Linked DNA regions of Ovis aries. The main gene of each other region encodes a partner of the protein of the gene in region 2 in a complex. Links are inferred from orthologs where the notes say so. Each region holds a gene or a part of one and is shown on either strand. Other genes may lie near its edges.

Evidence for each region.
Region 1: the proteins of GNAO1 (region 2) and ADRA2A are in contact, whole or in part, in a cryo-EM structure (PDB 7W6P), measured with the Homo sapiens proteins. The link is inferred for Ovis aries from reciprocal best matches to the Homo sapiens genes GNAO1 and ADRA2A. Residues at the interface, in NP_066268.1 of Homo sapiens: Ile28, Lys32, Lys193, Asn194, Leu195, Asp218, Phe336, Thr340, Asp341, Ile343, Ile344, Ala345, Asn347, Leu348, Gly350, Cys351, Gly352, Leu353, Tyr354; in NP_000672.3 of Homo sapiens: Arg77, Arg146, Ser149, Ile150, Ala153, Ile154, Asn157, Leu158, Arg160, Pro162, Ile234, Ala238, Arg241, Arg383, Arg386, Phe387, Val390, Leu391, Phe444, Asn445, His446.

Annotation. Positions count from the first base shown.
Region 1 is NC_056075.1:31,103,605-31,110,925, forward strand, and holds ADRA2A (alpha-2A adrenergic receptor), read left to right. Parts: upstream 1-3,166; 5' UTR 3,167-3,714; intron 3,715-3,835; 5' UTR 3,836-4,149; coding exon 4,150-5,553; 3' UTR 5,554-7,001; downstream 7,002-7,321. UniProt on the Homo sapiens protein: Alpha-2 adrenergic receptors mediate the catecholamine-induced inhibition of adenylate cyclase through the action of G proteins.
Region 2 is NC_056067.1:23,770,126-23,776,780, forward strand, and holds part of GNAO1 (guanine nucleotide-binding protein G(o) subunit alpha), read right to left. Parts: intron 4,471-6,655; coding exon 4,342-4,470; intron 2,680-4,341; coding exon 2,550-2,679; intron 1-2,549. UniProt on the Homo sapiens protein: Guanine nucleotide-binding proteins (G proteins) function as transducers downstream of G protein-coupled receptors (GPCRs) in numerous signaling cascades.

The DNA.
Region 1 (7,321 bases), on a different chromosome or scaffold from region 2:
GGAAGAATATGACACCCTCCTAGCTGACCCAGAAGGACCAGGACAGTTATTCTTAATCTGGAGCCCATCCTTGGCAGCTCTCCCTTCCTTAGACACCACCTTTATGCACCCCCCCCCCAAGGCAATTGCTCATCACGCCTGCCCCCAATGAGATTTATTATTTATTACTTAGAGCAGTGAATCTTCACTGAGTGTGCATGTTAGCATCTCCCAAGGAGGTTTGTTAAAATACACAGTCTGCATTCCATCACAGCCCTGATGAATCAAAATTACCTTGGTGGAGCACTAGTAAGTCTATTTCACCTTCCCAAGCAATGCAGATATACAGGCCTGGATAGAAATTATTGTCTTTGTGGATATCTCTCTGCTCAGTGCTGTCTCACTCAGCAAGCACAGCACTAAATCTTCTATCAAAAAACTAATAGCATCCACATAGCCTTTTGAAGCTCAGAGATACTAACACTGAGTGTCAAGCTAAGGAGCCAGAGCCTTTGGTGATAGATACATGTGTTATCCTGGTGGCTCAGACAATCTGCTTGCACTGTGGGAGACCCAGGTTTGATCCCTGGGTTAGGAAGATCCCCTGGAGAAGGGAACGGCAACCCATTCCAGTATTCTTGCCTGGAGAATTCCATGGACAGAGGAGCCTGGTGAGCTACAGCTCATGGGATTGCAAAGAGTTAAACACAACAGAGAGACAAACACATATGTTAAGAGGAAGAACTCTGCATATAAAGAGGCTCTGTAGCTAGCCTTAGACATGTTGTGTACTAGGAACTCAACAAAAGACAGCTATCATTATTATTAATAATTGTCCTGAATTGGACTCTAAGACCCTAGCTCCTTGAAAAGCCTGTTTCCATTTTAGGAGAAAAGACTCCAAACCCAGGAATTAAGAAGCTGACTGCCTGCTGACTGGCTGTTTGGGAAGCATTTAGAAAATGTGACATGAGATGTTATACACAGGCTAGCAGCAGAGATTCCAAGAAAAGAAAGCCCTGTGGCCTCTATTTTCATTTCCCTTTTTGCTCCTGAAATGAGATGGGAAGGAGAGATGTGTGTCAGCAGCTGGTGTGGAGAGAGGCGGTGATGATCTATGAAAACTCCGGCCCTAAGGTCTGTGACCATCACAGGGAAGCCCAGATTGTCATGGGCTTTCATGTTTGTCTCTCTTAGCATTCATACTTGAGGTCTGGGGCTCTTAGTTTCTGTGCAGAGGTGAGCGTGACCACATTTCCAACTGAGTCTCATGCAATCTCTCCATATCTCTTCTCTCAGGAGATGCAGAGCTGAGACTTGGTTAGAAGATGGAAAATGGACTTAACAGAGGGAGGAAAGATTGCCTTAACTTTCTTCAGGTGCTCCAGAAAAGGGGATTAGAAAGGACCTTGAGCATCAAGGCTGAGCATCACCTTCAACACCAGCTGATGTCCAGAATTAAATCTGGAAAGGGAGATCATCCAGTTGGAGGAATGATTGCATGGGGACACCTGTGAAATACTTTGAAAAGCACAGACTTCAGGACTATCTACATCAAGAGCAACCACACTGATTACTGTATCACTGGCGGAGACTGTAGACATCAGCTGGTGTTGAAAGTGATGCTCAGCCTTGATGCTCAAGGTCCTTAATTTAGTCCTCAGTCCTGAGCCTGAACCCTGCTGGGCAGAGAAGCAATCTGTTCCATCCTTAGAACTTCCAGCTTGATTGACTACATAAGGTATTTTGGTTTAGTAGGCCCTTAAATAAGATAGCTTTTCTTTAGGTCTCATCTCTCTCCTGCTGACAGTTCCCATCCTCCTGGGCCTTGCCCTTAAACTGCCTACTGTTTATTTGAAAAGTGCAGATAACACAAGCCGGTACTCTAGCAACGGTTAAAATAGATGTCAGGACACCGAGCATGCAGAGGAACACTGCACTCACCCCCTCTCCATTCTATTCCTATCAGAGGGAACGTGGAAAACATTCTCTTTTCTCTCGGGCAGCATCCTCGTCTTACTGAAAGACTGGTGTGCGTGCATCTGAAATGCAGATGTGGTGGGGGGCGAAGTCTAGCTTTCGGCCTCAACAAAGACACAATGGTTCAGAGAAGACCAGAGCAGAGCAACCCGTCAGGCAGGATCCAGGCCTCCGGGATCTGCGAGAAACGTGGGTTGCCCTGTATCGGCAGGGTGGGCTGCCAGCTCTGCAGGCATCAGAGCCCTCTTCCTGATGTGTCTTCATCAGCCCAAGCCTCACTCTCGCCGGGGAGAGGGAGCCACACAAGAGTGTATGCATTAGGAAGATTTCTGCAATATGACAAAGTGCAATAAAAAATCTGGGTTCTCTGTCCCCGAGCTTGGACCCAAACTTGCCCTGAGATGAGAGAAGGCAGTCGCAGGGGCGGGAGTAGGCTCCGGGCGCCCGCGGGTAGACTCGCAGCGGTGCCGGCGTGCGGCCGGCAGGTGTCAGTGCGCCCTCGCGCTGCCGCCGCGCGCCGCCTCCGCTCCAGGACCCCTCCTCACCGTGGTCTAGCGGGCGCCGGCTCAGACCCAGGCTGCTCGGGTCTCGCAGCAGCTCTGCAGCTGGGACCACAAATGGCCGCTTCTCCCCACAGTGGAGCTCTTAACTCTGGCGGAGCTCACTCCGCGCGTGTGTGTGGGGGGTGCCTCCCTTTCCGCCAAAGGGGTTGGATCTGAACGTGCGCCTTCCTCTCACCAGCCCCACTCGCCCCGCCGCCCGGAGCACTTGCAGGAAAAGTGTGGCCCGGCCCAGGGCGGGGTTGTTCCGGATGCGACCTGTACCGGTAATTGCTTCTCCCGATTCATCCGGGGGACCTCAACACCCTTTCCTCCCAAGTCCCACTCAGCTCGATGTGGCCACTCCCGGGTGCCCAATGTGTTCTGCTCGGCGCGCCCAGAGATGCTTGGCCAATTCCCAGCAGGCACTCCCCGGGCACGCCCTTTAAATCCCTCGCTCAGGGTATCCGCCTCCCCAAAGGGCCCGTCTCACCAAGGGGGGGGGGGAGGGTTCCAGTGGGTCCCGCGCTGGGCGAGGGCGCTAGACCCGCGGAGGGGAGGTGCAAGGGGCGGGGGAGGGTCGGTTTCCCACGTGGGGGCTGACGCCGGCTGCTCAGCAACGCCGGCTTGATCCTGGGGCTATAAAACCAGTCCACGGCTAGTGCGGCGGAGAAGCAGCGGCCCGGGCTTCAGTGCAGACGCCTAGCAGCCGGCGCGCCTCCGCTCGGCCACCCCCAGCACCTTTCTCTCCCCAGCCCTGCTCTCCTGCCCCAAACTCACGCTGCCCTCGGACCCCAGCCTGTCCCGTCGCGCTCAGCGCACGAAGCTCGCCGGGCCGACGCCCAGGAGACCTCCTGCCTCCGTCTCGGCTCCGGGAGGGCCGATCGCCCACCCGCCCGGGTCTGCCTGAGGACGGGGGCGCCTTCATGCTGCCCCCACACCCATCATCCCACCGACACCGCCGCCGCCGCCTCCGAGCTCCACGCGCTGCGCCCCAGCCCCAGCAGGGCACTCAACTTTGGAAGTCCCGCGACGCTCCGAGAGGCGGCAGAGTCCGCACCGTGGCCCCAACCCGGGCCCCGCCGGCCCCGCCGCGTCTGGGGGAAGCGAGAGAGTCGGTGTTCGCTTCGGAGATGTAAGGAGAGAGTCGCAGGACCCCAAGCCAGCATCAGCACCCCTCGGCTGCCTCCTGGGTTGGGGGCGGGCCCCGCACACGGTAAGACCTCTTGCTTTCGCTCAGGCTCAAGAGTCAAAGATATATAAACAGATATATTTAATTTCCTGTTATCTTTCCAAGTCATCAGGCCACCGATGATTTTTGTTCTCTCTTCTTGAAGAATAAATCTCTCTTTCCCCATCGGTTCGACCTACTCTCTCCCGCCGCTTAGAAATAAAACTTGGCTGTATCTAGGAGCTGGGAGCGAGAAGGCGCCGACCCCGAGCGCCTGAAGCGCGCGGACCGGGTGCGGTTCGCGGGAGCCGGGCCCATGGGCCGCTAGCGGTCCCCCAGCTCGGGGCCCGGCCTCCCTGAGGCCCCTTCTCCATGTGAGGTGCGGCGGGGCGAGCGGGGCGCGAGAGGAAGAGGAGGACCCACGGGCACCGGGCCGGAAGGCAGCTGGCAGCAGGCCCAGGCGAGTGGGCACCCGCGTTCATGTTCCGCCAGGAGCAGCCGCTGGCCGAGGGCAGCTTCGCGCCCATGGGCTCCCTGCAGCCGGACGCGGGCAACGCGAGCTGGAACGGGACCGAGGCCCCGGGGGGCGGCGCCCGGGCCACCCCCTACTCCCTGCAGGTGACGCTGACGCTGGTGTGCCTGGCCGGCCTGCTCATGCTGTTCACGGTGTTCGGTAACGTGCTTGTCATCATTGCTGTGTTCACAAGCCGCGCGCTCAAGGCGCCCCAGAATCTCTTCCTGGTGTCTCTGGCTTCGGCGGACATCCTGGTGGCCACGCTTGTCATCCCTTTCTCGCTGGCCAACGAGGTCATGGGCTACTGGTACTTCGGCAAGGCGTGGTGTGAGATCTACCTGGCGCTCGACGTGCTCTTCTGCACGTCTTCCATAGTGCACCTGTGCGCCATCAGCCTGGATCGTTACTGGTCCATCACCCAGGCCATAGAGTACAACCTGAAACGCACGCCACGCCGCATCAAGGCCATCATCGTCACGGTGTGGGTCATCTCGGCCGTCATCTCCTTCCCCCCGCTCATTTCCTTCGAGAAGAGAGGCAGGAGTGGCCAGCCGTCCGCCGAACCGCGCTGTGAGATCAACGACCAGAAGTGGTACGTCATCTCGTCGAGCATCGGCTCCTTCTTCGCGCCCTGCCTGATCATGATCCTGGTCTACGTGCGCATCTACCAGATCGCCAAGCGCCGCACCCGCGTGCCGCCCAGTCGCCGGGGGCCCGATGCCGCCGCCGCTGAGCTGCCAGGGGGCGCCGAGCGCAGGCCCAACGGCTTGGGCCCGGAGCGCGGCGGCGTGGGCCCCGTGGGCGCCGAGGTCGAGTCGCTGCAGGTGCAGCTCAATGGTGCCCCGGGGGAGCCCGCGCCCGCAGGGCGGCCGGACGCCGACGCGCTGGACCTAGAGGAGAGCTCCTCGTCTGAGCACGCTGAGCGGCCCCCGGGGTCCCGCAGGTCGGAGCGCGGGCCCCGGGCCAAGGGCAAGGCCCGGGCGAGCCAGGTGAAGCCCGGGGACAGCCTGCCGCGGCGCGGGCCGGGGGCGACGGGGCCGGGGGCACCCGCGGCGGGGCCCGCGGAGGAGCGCCCTGGCGGGGCCGCCAAGGCGTCGCGCTGGCGCGGGCGGCAGAACCGCGAGAAGCGCTTCACCTTCGTGCTGGCGGTGGTCATCGGCGTGTTCGTGGTGTGCTGGTTCCCCTTCTTCTTCACCTACACGCTCACGGCCATCGGCTGCTCCGTGCCGCCCACGCTCTTCAAGTTCTTCTTCTGGTTCGGCTACTGCAACAGCTCGCTGAACCCGGTCATATACACCATCTTCAATCACGACTTCCGCCGCGCCTTCAAGAAGATCCTCTGCCGGGGGGACAGGAAGCGGATCGTGTGAGTGTGGAGTCCGCTCCCGGAGAACAGACTTGCGCTGACTGCAGGCAGCTGGGATCCAGGGGGCGCGTCTACGTGGTCCTGCCAAAACCCGGGTCCAGCCTGTTCCTAGTTTCTTGGCCCCAGGATAGCTCTGCCGCTTCTTGCGGGCATCTGCGCTCTCCTACCTGAGAAAAGAACTGGCTGGGAGGGCCATACCCCTACTCCAACCCCCTCATTATTGCTAGGGCAGCTCCTCACTCAGAGCCATCTTCCTGGGTTCTTGGGCAGCCCCAAATCAGTATTGTTTCCTAAAAATATTTTCACCTCCCCTGGGCCCAGCTGTCACAGTCGTTCAGAGCAAGCACGAGAGCCCAGAGGGGATGGATGGCTCCCAAAGGGTTAACAGATGGGTTGGGGGTGGGGGTTACCCAGCCCTGGCTAATTGCTTTCCCCCTTCCCCAACTCTTATTTTTAAACAAATGCTCAGGGCAGCCCTGCAGGCCCTCCCGTCCCCCCACCCCTTGTAAATATACACTATTTTTGATAGTACTTGGGGGTGGGGTGGGGTCCCAAATGTCTCTTGGCTTTTGATGTTTGAATCCTGGCCACTGGAGGTGCTCTCCAGGCAGACTCATTGTGTCTAGTTCAGGGCGAGCCTCTTTGCAAAGTGAGCCCTTTTCTGGTGTCATTACCCTCTCTGTGTCCTCTTCACCAGCAACTGGTGACTGTCCCTTGGGACTGGACTTGCGATGAGATTTCCTGAGGGGGAAAACATTTCTGTCCATTTTCCCACCCCTGTGCCTAACAGCATAATTGCCTTGTCCTATGTAAATATTACAAAGATGGATCAAGACAGAAGTAAATGAACCTTTCTGCCTTGCAGCAGCCCTGTGTATAAAGCCATTATTCTCGGATGCACCCTTTTTCACTCCAGTACTGCACTTTAAAACCTTCTCTTTCCAGTGTCCCCTTCCTCCCTTCCTCTGGGGCCACTGCTTGAAAAATATGTATGTTTCCATCTTGGATGTATGTGTTACCACTCCCTCCTTCAGAGTGCTGACTGTGGGAAATCTTTTACCTGCTGTTTTTAGACACGGAGAGGTGGAAATTATGTGGAAGAAGCAAACCTGATACAATTTGCCCAAAGTAAACAGTGTGAAGAGACAAATGGGCCTGCCCAACTGTACAGTTCTTGCCCCAAGAGCTCTTAAGTATCAAAGTGTTGTCCATTTTTCCTCCCTGTTTTTCTGGTTGAGATCAAGTCATTGATAAACTCCCAAAGTCAAGGGAGAAGGGCGGAGACCTTGTTTACATCCAAGTTGCCCTATGTTTTAGACAGAGACTCTTTAAGGCCTGCGCTCATATTTCACTAAAGAAAAATTAATGTCAGCACATGTTGCTAATGACAGTGGATTTTTTTTAACAAAAAGTTTACAGATCAAATGTGAAATAAATATGAATTAAATGGTCTGTCTGTTATCTGAGTTTTCAAAAGCATTAAGACTCTGGAAACATCTGAATTTATGTATATTTGAAATTAAAAAAATACTTATGCATTATAAAACACTTTTAAAAGGCCAAGCAGTAACAAAGCTGCCATTTATCATCTGTTTCTTCTTTGCCAGATGCGATGGTGAGTCTGTTATAAGCTCTGTTTCATTTAATTGTCCCCCAAAGCCCATGAGGGTAGGGACTGTTATGATCCCCATTTAACAGGTGAAAAAAACTGAGTCTCAGAGGGCAAGGGATTTATTCAAGGTTAACCACAGTTGGGGGAGTGTACTGCATGC
Region 2 (6,655 bases):
CCCCACTTCCTCCGGCCTGGGAGGGCGGGGCAGGGCCGACCAGAGAGGAAGGTGGACAACCAAGGATGGGTCAGCGGCTGGAGCTCTTGCTCCCGGGGGCAGCACGTGCGAGTCCCACCACTTGGCTTCAAGGGGTGCTCCTGGGCAGAGTCGTGTCGCAGCTGCCGTCTGCTACGTGAAGGGTCCAGAGCGAGCGCAGGCACTCTTACAGCCCCCAGCCCCAGGGGTCCTCAGAGCCGCCCAGAGGCCTCTCGTCATGGGCTCCACTTTACAGAGGAGCAGGTGGGGTGGCTGCCACACTCCCATGGTGTCAGCAGTGGCGCTAGACCCCGGGCTATGTCCACCTGGCCCTGGACACACAGGCAGGGCGCTATTCTCACTGGCACCATGGCAAGGAGCCGCCTCTGCAGGCTCTTGTCGAGTGGTGATGCCAACACCCGAGCTCTGGAGAGGCTGCCGCTCTCTCCCGGGTGGAAAGGAACCCAGGAAGAGCCCATTCGCAACCCCACATGCTGTGGCTTCCTGTCCTCGAACCCAGCCTTTGTGAAGAAGGGCAGGGAAATGGGGGAAGAGCTGAGGGAGAGGATGGGACAGAGACAGTGAAAGCAGGAGGGCGAGGAGGAAGGTGCTCCAGAATGGGCTCTGCGCCAGAGCGAGAGCTGGTGAGGAGCTGGCACAGGGCGGGTGGGCCGGCAGGCCGGGAAGGCCGTCTGAGCGTGAGGCCCAGCACCTGCTGGGTTCACTCGAGACTCGCAGGCCACAGAGCTTGGGACCCCGTGGCCGCCAGACCCGCTCCGACATCCTCTGCTCTGCCCATGCTCCGGAGGCCAGTGCGCGCCCCTTCCTGAGAGGGCCTTGGGCCTTGGGCCTGAGCCGGACGGGTCTCCGGGAAGAGGCCTGGGGCCCTCGACACTCCACTGCTTGGTTTTCTTTCAAACTCACAGCAGGGTCAGCTTCCTGCACCAGCCCTGCTTCTCACTCCCAGGAGCAGCAAGGAGAAGAGATGAGCCACACGGAGCTCAGACCACACTCCCAGGAGCAGCAAGGAGAAGAGATGAGCCACACGGAGCTCAGACCACACGCTGGCCCAGCGGGCTGTGAACAGTGGGTCCAGAAGCAGGGTCAACAGTGGATCAGTGAGTGATGGGCTGGGGTGGTCTCTGTGTGCGGTGCCTTATGGGGGCAGCAGGAGCCGAGCTGGGCTTCGGGACAGTCAGTAGGTCCAGGTCTGGGGGTCTTAGACACCACGGCTCCTGAGGCCACTGAGAACAGTGCCAGCGTTAGAAAGAGCTGCACACCTGGGGTCCCAGAGCCTCGCCCCGTAACACAGCAGGGTTTGTGGGGTTCCGCTGATGCCCCGCTCGGAAGTGTTCCAGGTACCGAAGGAGAAAAGGCAAGGGCGACAGGTCAGCATGCGGCGCGAGTGCTGACGGCCCACCCGGCCGGTGGCTCTGGCCCCATCTAACCATGGCACCGTCACCGCATAAGCCCGACCTCTCCGAACGGCGGCGCCTCTTCCCATACCACCACACCCCAAAGCCCAGCAGACCTCAGTAGCAGCCCCGTGGGACCGGCAGGCAGGACCGACGACGAGACAGACCCGGAAAGAAGATAGCCTTGCTCAAGGCCCACCCTGACAAGCCCAGTCCCAAAACCTCAGCGCCAGGGGTTTGTGCCTGCCTGCATCACACACAGGAGCTAACGATCGCCAAGGATGTGACCCCACGGCCCAGAAGCCCCACCTCAGCGGGTGCTTGTCTCCTGAGACCCCACCAGGCCCACCTCTCTGTGGGCAGCTCAGTGGGACCCCGGCTCAGGACAACCCTCAGGGACGACACAACCACCAGCCCAGGGCTGCTAAGCCAGAGACGGTTCCAAGTCCTTGAAGATTCTCACCCCACTGCCCACACCCCACCAGGCGGGTATGATGGTTACACCCCTAAGATAGAGAGGGTGCTCCCTGAATCCAGCAGCAAACCAAGGCCAGGCCTAGAGAAAGGCAGCACCCCCTGCAGAGAGGGCCCCCCTCTGAAGTTCCCCTCAGCCTGGCAGTTCTCCGAGGCCCCAGACTGAAGACGCAGAGACGGAAGGTGGGAACCCGGGCTGGCGCCCTCCAGGGGAGGGGCCTGTGCCCCCCACCCTGTCACTCACCATGAGCCCTGGCCCACAGCCCAACCCTCTGCCAGCCCTGCCCACTGCTCAGGGAGGGCTGTCGGAGCTAAGAACTGCTATTTCTGTCTTACATAAATTCTTGCTTGACTGCACCCTGATTTCATTTAGGATTTGCTTAACTTGGTTCTGGCCTGACGGCCTCTGCGACTCTGCTGTGTTTACTGAAGAGGCCCTTGCTGCCCGTGCCCCGGCATCTGCACATAGCCTCTGGCAGGGGGCCCAAGGCTGCCTTCACTGCACTGGCATCATGAGGCATCTGGCTGAAGTCAGGAGAGAGGTGGGAACAACCAAGCCAAGGACGGACCCCCACCCCCGCAGCTGGCTCTGCCCGAGAGGCATCGTGGGCCACTGAGGCCGGGCGGGCTGGGGCCACTCACCGTGGTCTCGTCTTCGTGGAGCACCTGGTCATAGCCGCTGAGCGCGACGCAGAAGATGATGGCCGTGACGTCCTCGAAGCAGTGGATCCACTTCTTGCGCTCAGACCGCTGGCCCCCGACGTCAAACAGCCTACCAGGAAGACAGGAGAGCTGGGGGTGGGGGTAGGGAGACCCCAGCAGGTGTGGGGACACTGGTCGAGCTGCGGGGTCAGGGAGGAAGGCTGCTGTGCACACAGCAAGCCTCCCAAGGAGCCTCGCTTCGGGCTGAGGACCGAGCACGGCACCCTCGGGGTGGGGTGGCCGTCACTGCTCTGCCCCGGGACTGGGTGGTGCCCCACACAGCGACGCCAAGACCCGCCCCTGCATCTCAGCGCTGTTGCGAAGGGGTGACCTCGGCTGGACATGCCTTCGCAAGCCTCCAGCTTTCTGAGCATGTCTGTTCACGTCTGTGGTCCGGGGAAACCCCAGAGCAGCCTGGGAGGCACAGAGGGAGGTGGGCAGGGACCTGCAGCTCCCACGTGGAGGCCCAGTGAAGCAGCAAGGGGTTGAGTGCAGGGTGCCGGCAGGAGTTGGGGTGAGACCAACGTCGGTCTGTAGACGTCTGGCTGTCAACGTCTGTCTCTCTGCTCTGTGCCCGCCCTCCCTCACCCCTTCTCAGCATCATCCCCTGGGGCATGAGAGCTGTCAGGGGAGATGGTGGCAGAGGGGATTTGGTCCTGGAAGTGCGAGGTCAACCTCACATCTAACGCCCTGAGTGAAGATCCCAGGCCTGACGCACAGCTGCCAGGGTGGGCAGGGCCCCAACCCGCTGATAGAGGAGAACAGCCACAGGCCGAAGCCCACAGCGGACCTAGAGCAAGGACACAGGTCCGGTCCTCATCCCGTCACCACCTCCCTTGGACCCTGCTTCTCCATCTGAAATACTGGGCCCTGGTGATGGTCTCTGAGGCCCCTCCACAGCACATACTCTCAGCTGCTGCGGGCCAGGCGCCCCCAGCCCAGCTCTACACCCTCTGCCCTGATCGGTAAGTGGGAGAGACTGAGGGACTAGAGCAGGCAGGGGCTGGGCCTCAGGCTGGGCAGGGCCAGGCAGTGGCCTCACTCAAGTCTACTGGTCTACTGTCCTGGCCATCCTGGCCTCTCCTCCTGCTCCACCCAACACCCAGAAACCACACCCAGGAGGCAGCTGGAGGCAGCTAGGGGCACCCAGGCCTCAGGGCATGCAAGCTGCCCCAGGTGGTGCTATGACACCCTGGCAGGGCCTACGGTGCTCAGACCCTGGGCCTGAGCTATGTTCTGTGCTCGGGAACAGACTTGCTCCTCCAGGTCTCAGTTTCCCCTATATACCTGGAGAGGGTGGGCCAGCTGATCTCCAAGCCCCTTCTAGTTCTGAGATGACATGGGTCCTTGGGTCACACAAAACATGTTGCTTAGGTTCGCCCGCTCTTATCCCCCACGCCTCCATGCCTTCAAAGACCACCTGGGTGATCCACCATCCTCCCCGTCAGAAGTCAGGCAGGGACAGGACTACCCTCCTTTGTCCACTTGAATCCTCCCTGTATCTCAGAGCCCCTCTCCAGGATGCTTCTTCTAGGAAGCCTCCCTGCTCACCACAGCCCCTGACCTTGGTGGCAAAGAGGGGTACACACAGGTCCCTTCTCGCATCCAACTGCTTGTCCCAACTTGAGAGCTCCCTGAGACAGGAATGCTCCAGATGAGCTGAGGCTGGGAGGCAGGGGTCGCCCGTGTCTTAGCACCCTCTCCAGGGATGGGGAGTCTCCCTGGCCCTCACCTGAAGTGGAGGTTCTTGAACGTGAAGTGGGTTTCTACGATGCCGGTGGTTTTGACCCTGGTTCGGAGGATGTCCTGCTCGGTGGGCTGGTAGTCGGCGGCCCCGATCCGGTCCAGGCTGTCCAGGTAGCTGGGGATGGCAGCACACGGGGACTGTGGACCAGGTGTGGGCACTGCCCTCCCAGAGTGCCAGCCCCGACCCAAGCCAGGGAGGGACGGCATCACCTGTCCAGGGCCAGGTGTGGGGCGGAGCTGAGGAAGAGACGCCCGCGTCCCGGCCTCAGGCGCTCAGAGCCTCTAACTCAGACCAAGGGCTTCGCACACAGTTCAGCCTCACTCAGACAAGTCAGGCTTTTCAATGAGACTAATGTGTTTATGGGCTTTCAGGTGGTGCTAGTGGTAAAGAAGCTGCCTGCCAATGCGGAGATGTAAGAGACTCGGGTTTGTTCCTTGGGTCGGGAAGATCCCCTGGAGGAGGGCATGGCAACCCATCCTAGTAGTCTTGCCTGGAGAATCCCACAGGAGCCTGGTGGGCTACAGTCCATAGGCTCCCAAAGAGTCGGACATGAATGAAGCAGCCTAGCGTGCACACACGTGTTTCTAACACTGTCATTTCTTCATCTTAAAATAACGATGGGCTAAAGTTAGCTTCTAGTCTTTCTGCGCATTATCATGTTCCACCCTTAATTTCTTGAGGTAAATGTATTATTTCCTAGATTAGAAAACTCAGGTTTTCTAATGAAGGTGAGTGCCTGGCCCAGCCCTGAGTCAGGGTTTTGGATCCCACCTCCTAACAGTACCCTGCAGTGCTTCCCAGAGGCCCTCTGCGCCTCCACCCACCTCTCACACTCCTCAGGTTTACCAGGGGGCTGTCGCATCTTCCCATCTGATGCTCCTGGGAGGGAGGCCCAGAAGCCACACAGACAGGCAGGGGCGGGGCCTCGCTGGTACCTTAGGCATCATGGCCCCTGCCATGCCATCACTTGCCCTGGAGACAGACCTGGCCTGTGCATTTGGTCCTCCAAGGCCACACGCTGGGAAAGCTTTAGGGGTTGGTACGGGTTAAGGTTTGAACCCTAAGTCAGGTTGAGATCCAGGAAACTAGGAAGCAGAGAGCTCGCTCAGACTGGCAGGAAGATTCAGGGACCCTCAGGGCCAGCTGGGCAACCCATCCCTGTGCAGGGGGAGTCATATGCAGCCCACAGGGAGCAACCGTGAGGGTCTGAGTCATGGCGTGATGTGGGAGTCCCAGGCTGTGCACAGAGGCGCCCAGCTTCGTTAGCACCCACTCTAGACCCACTGGCAGGGCGGGGCTGGGAAGGGCGGATGCCTCCACTAAGGAGGGTGTCCACTGGTGAACCAACAATCCAAGCTGCCTCAAATCCTTATAAGAATTCTCCCTAGGTAAACAGAGCCGATGTTGGTCCCAGGTTCAGGGAAGGTGAGCTTGAAGCCACACTCCTAGAAAGGGGATGACACTGCTGGGGGATCAAGACTGGGTCTACCCGACTGCAGAGCCAGTGCTCTTACACAGGTCTCCAGGCCTTGTCTCCGCCGCGAAAGGAGGGAGGCTGAGACGGCAGAGCAGACCTGAAAGCCCTGGCCGCCGTGGAGCCTCCTCGCCAGGCCCATGGGCATCTGGGCGGCCTCCAACCTCAGCCTGGAGCAGGTCCTCCTAACCTCTCTGTACGTGCCCCTCCTCTGCCCAAGCTGCCTTTGCCCAGAAGCGGTGCTGGTTTCAGAAGCCTCCTCCTGTCATCCCCAGCTGGAGACCTGGGCTGGGAGCCTCTGGTCTTGGCCCCGTTCCAGCTGGGGAACCCTCCTTTAGGCAGACAGCCTGGCCCTCCATCTCTCTGGCTGAGCCTCATGCAGGGAGGCAGCCACCGCAGGGTAGAGGGTGTGCTCAGGGGACTGTGCACCTGCTGTGTCTACTGCCTGCTGACTGTCCTGGGTGCTGCGAGGCACAGGCCCCACCTCCTGGAGCCTCTGTTCCTGGGTGGTGCGCATGAGGCAATTAGCAGAGCAGTAAGCTGTACAACATGTCAGGAGGTGGTAAGTGTCAGGAGGGAAGGCTCAGACTATCATAGGGGGAGGCTGGCTGGGGGCTGCTGTTTGGTATCAGGTGGCTGGTGAAGGCTCGTGGAGCAGGATAACATTCGAGAGGAGACGGAGGGCAGTGAGGGGATGAGCCTCTCCTGGTCCGGCAGAAGGACCAGTGGGCGCAGAGGCCACGCCCACCGTGGAGGAGGAGCCGGGCCTGCAGGCTCTGGACAGGAGTGGAGGAGAGGCTGTACATGGGGCAGGGCAGGGCAGGC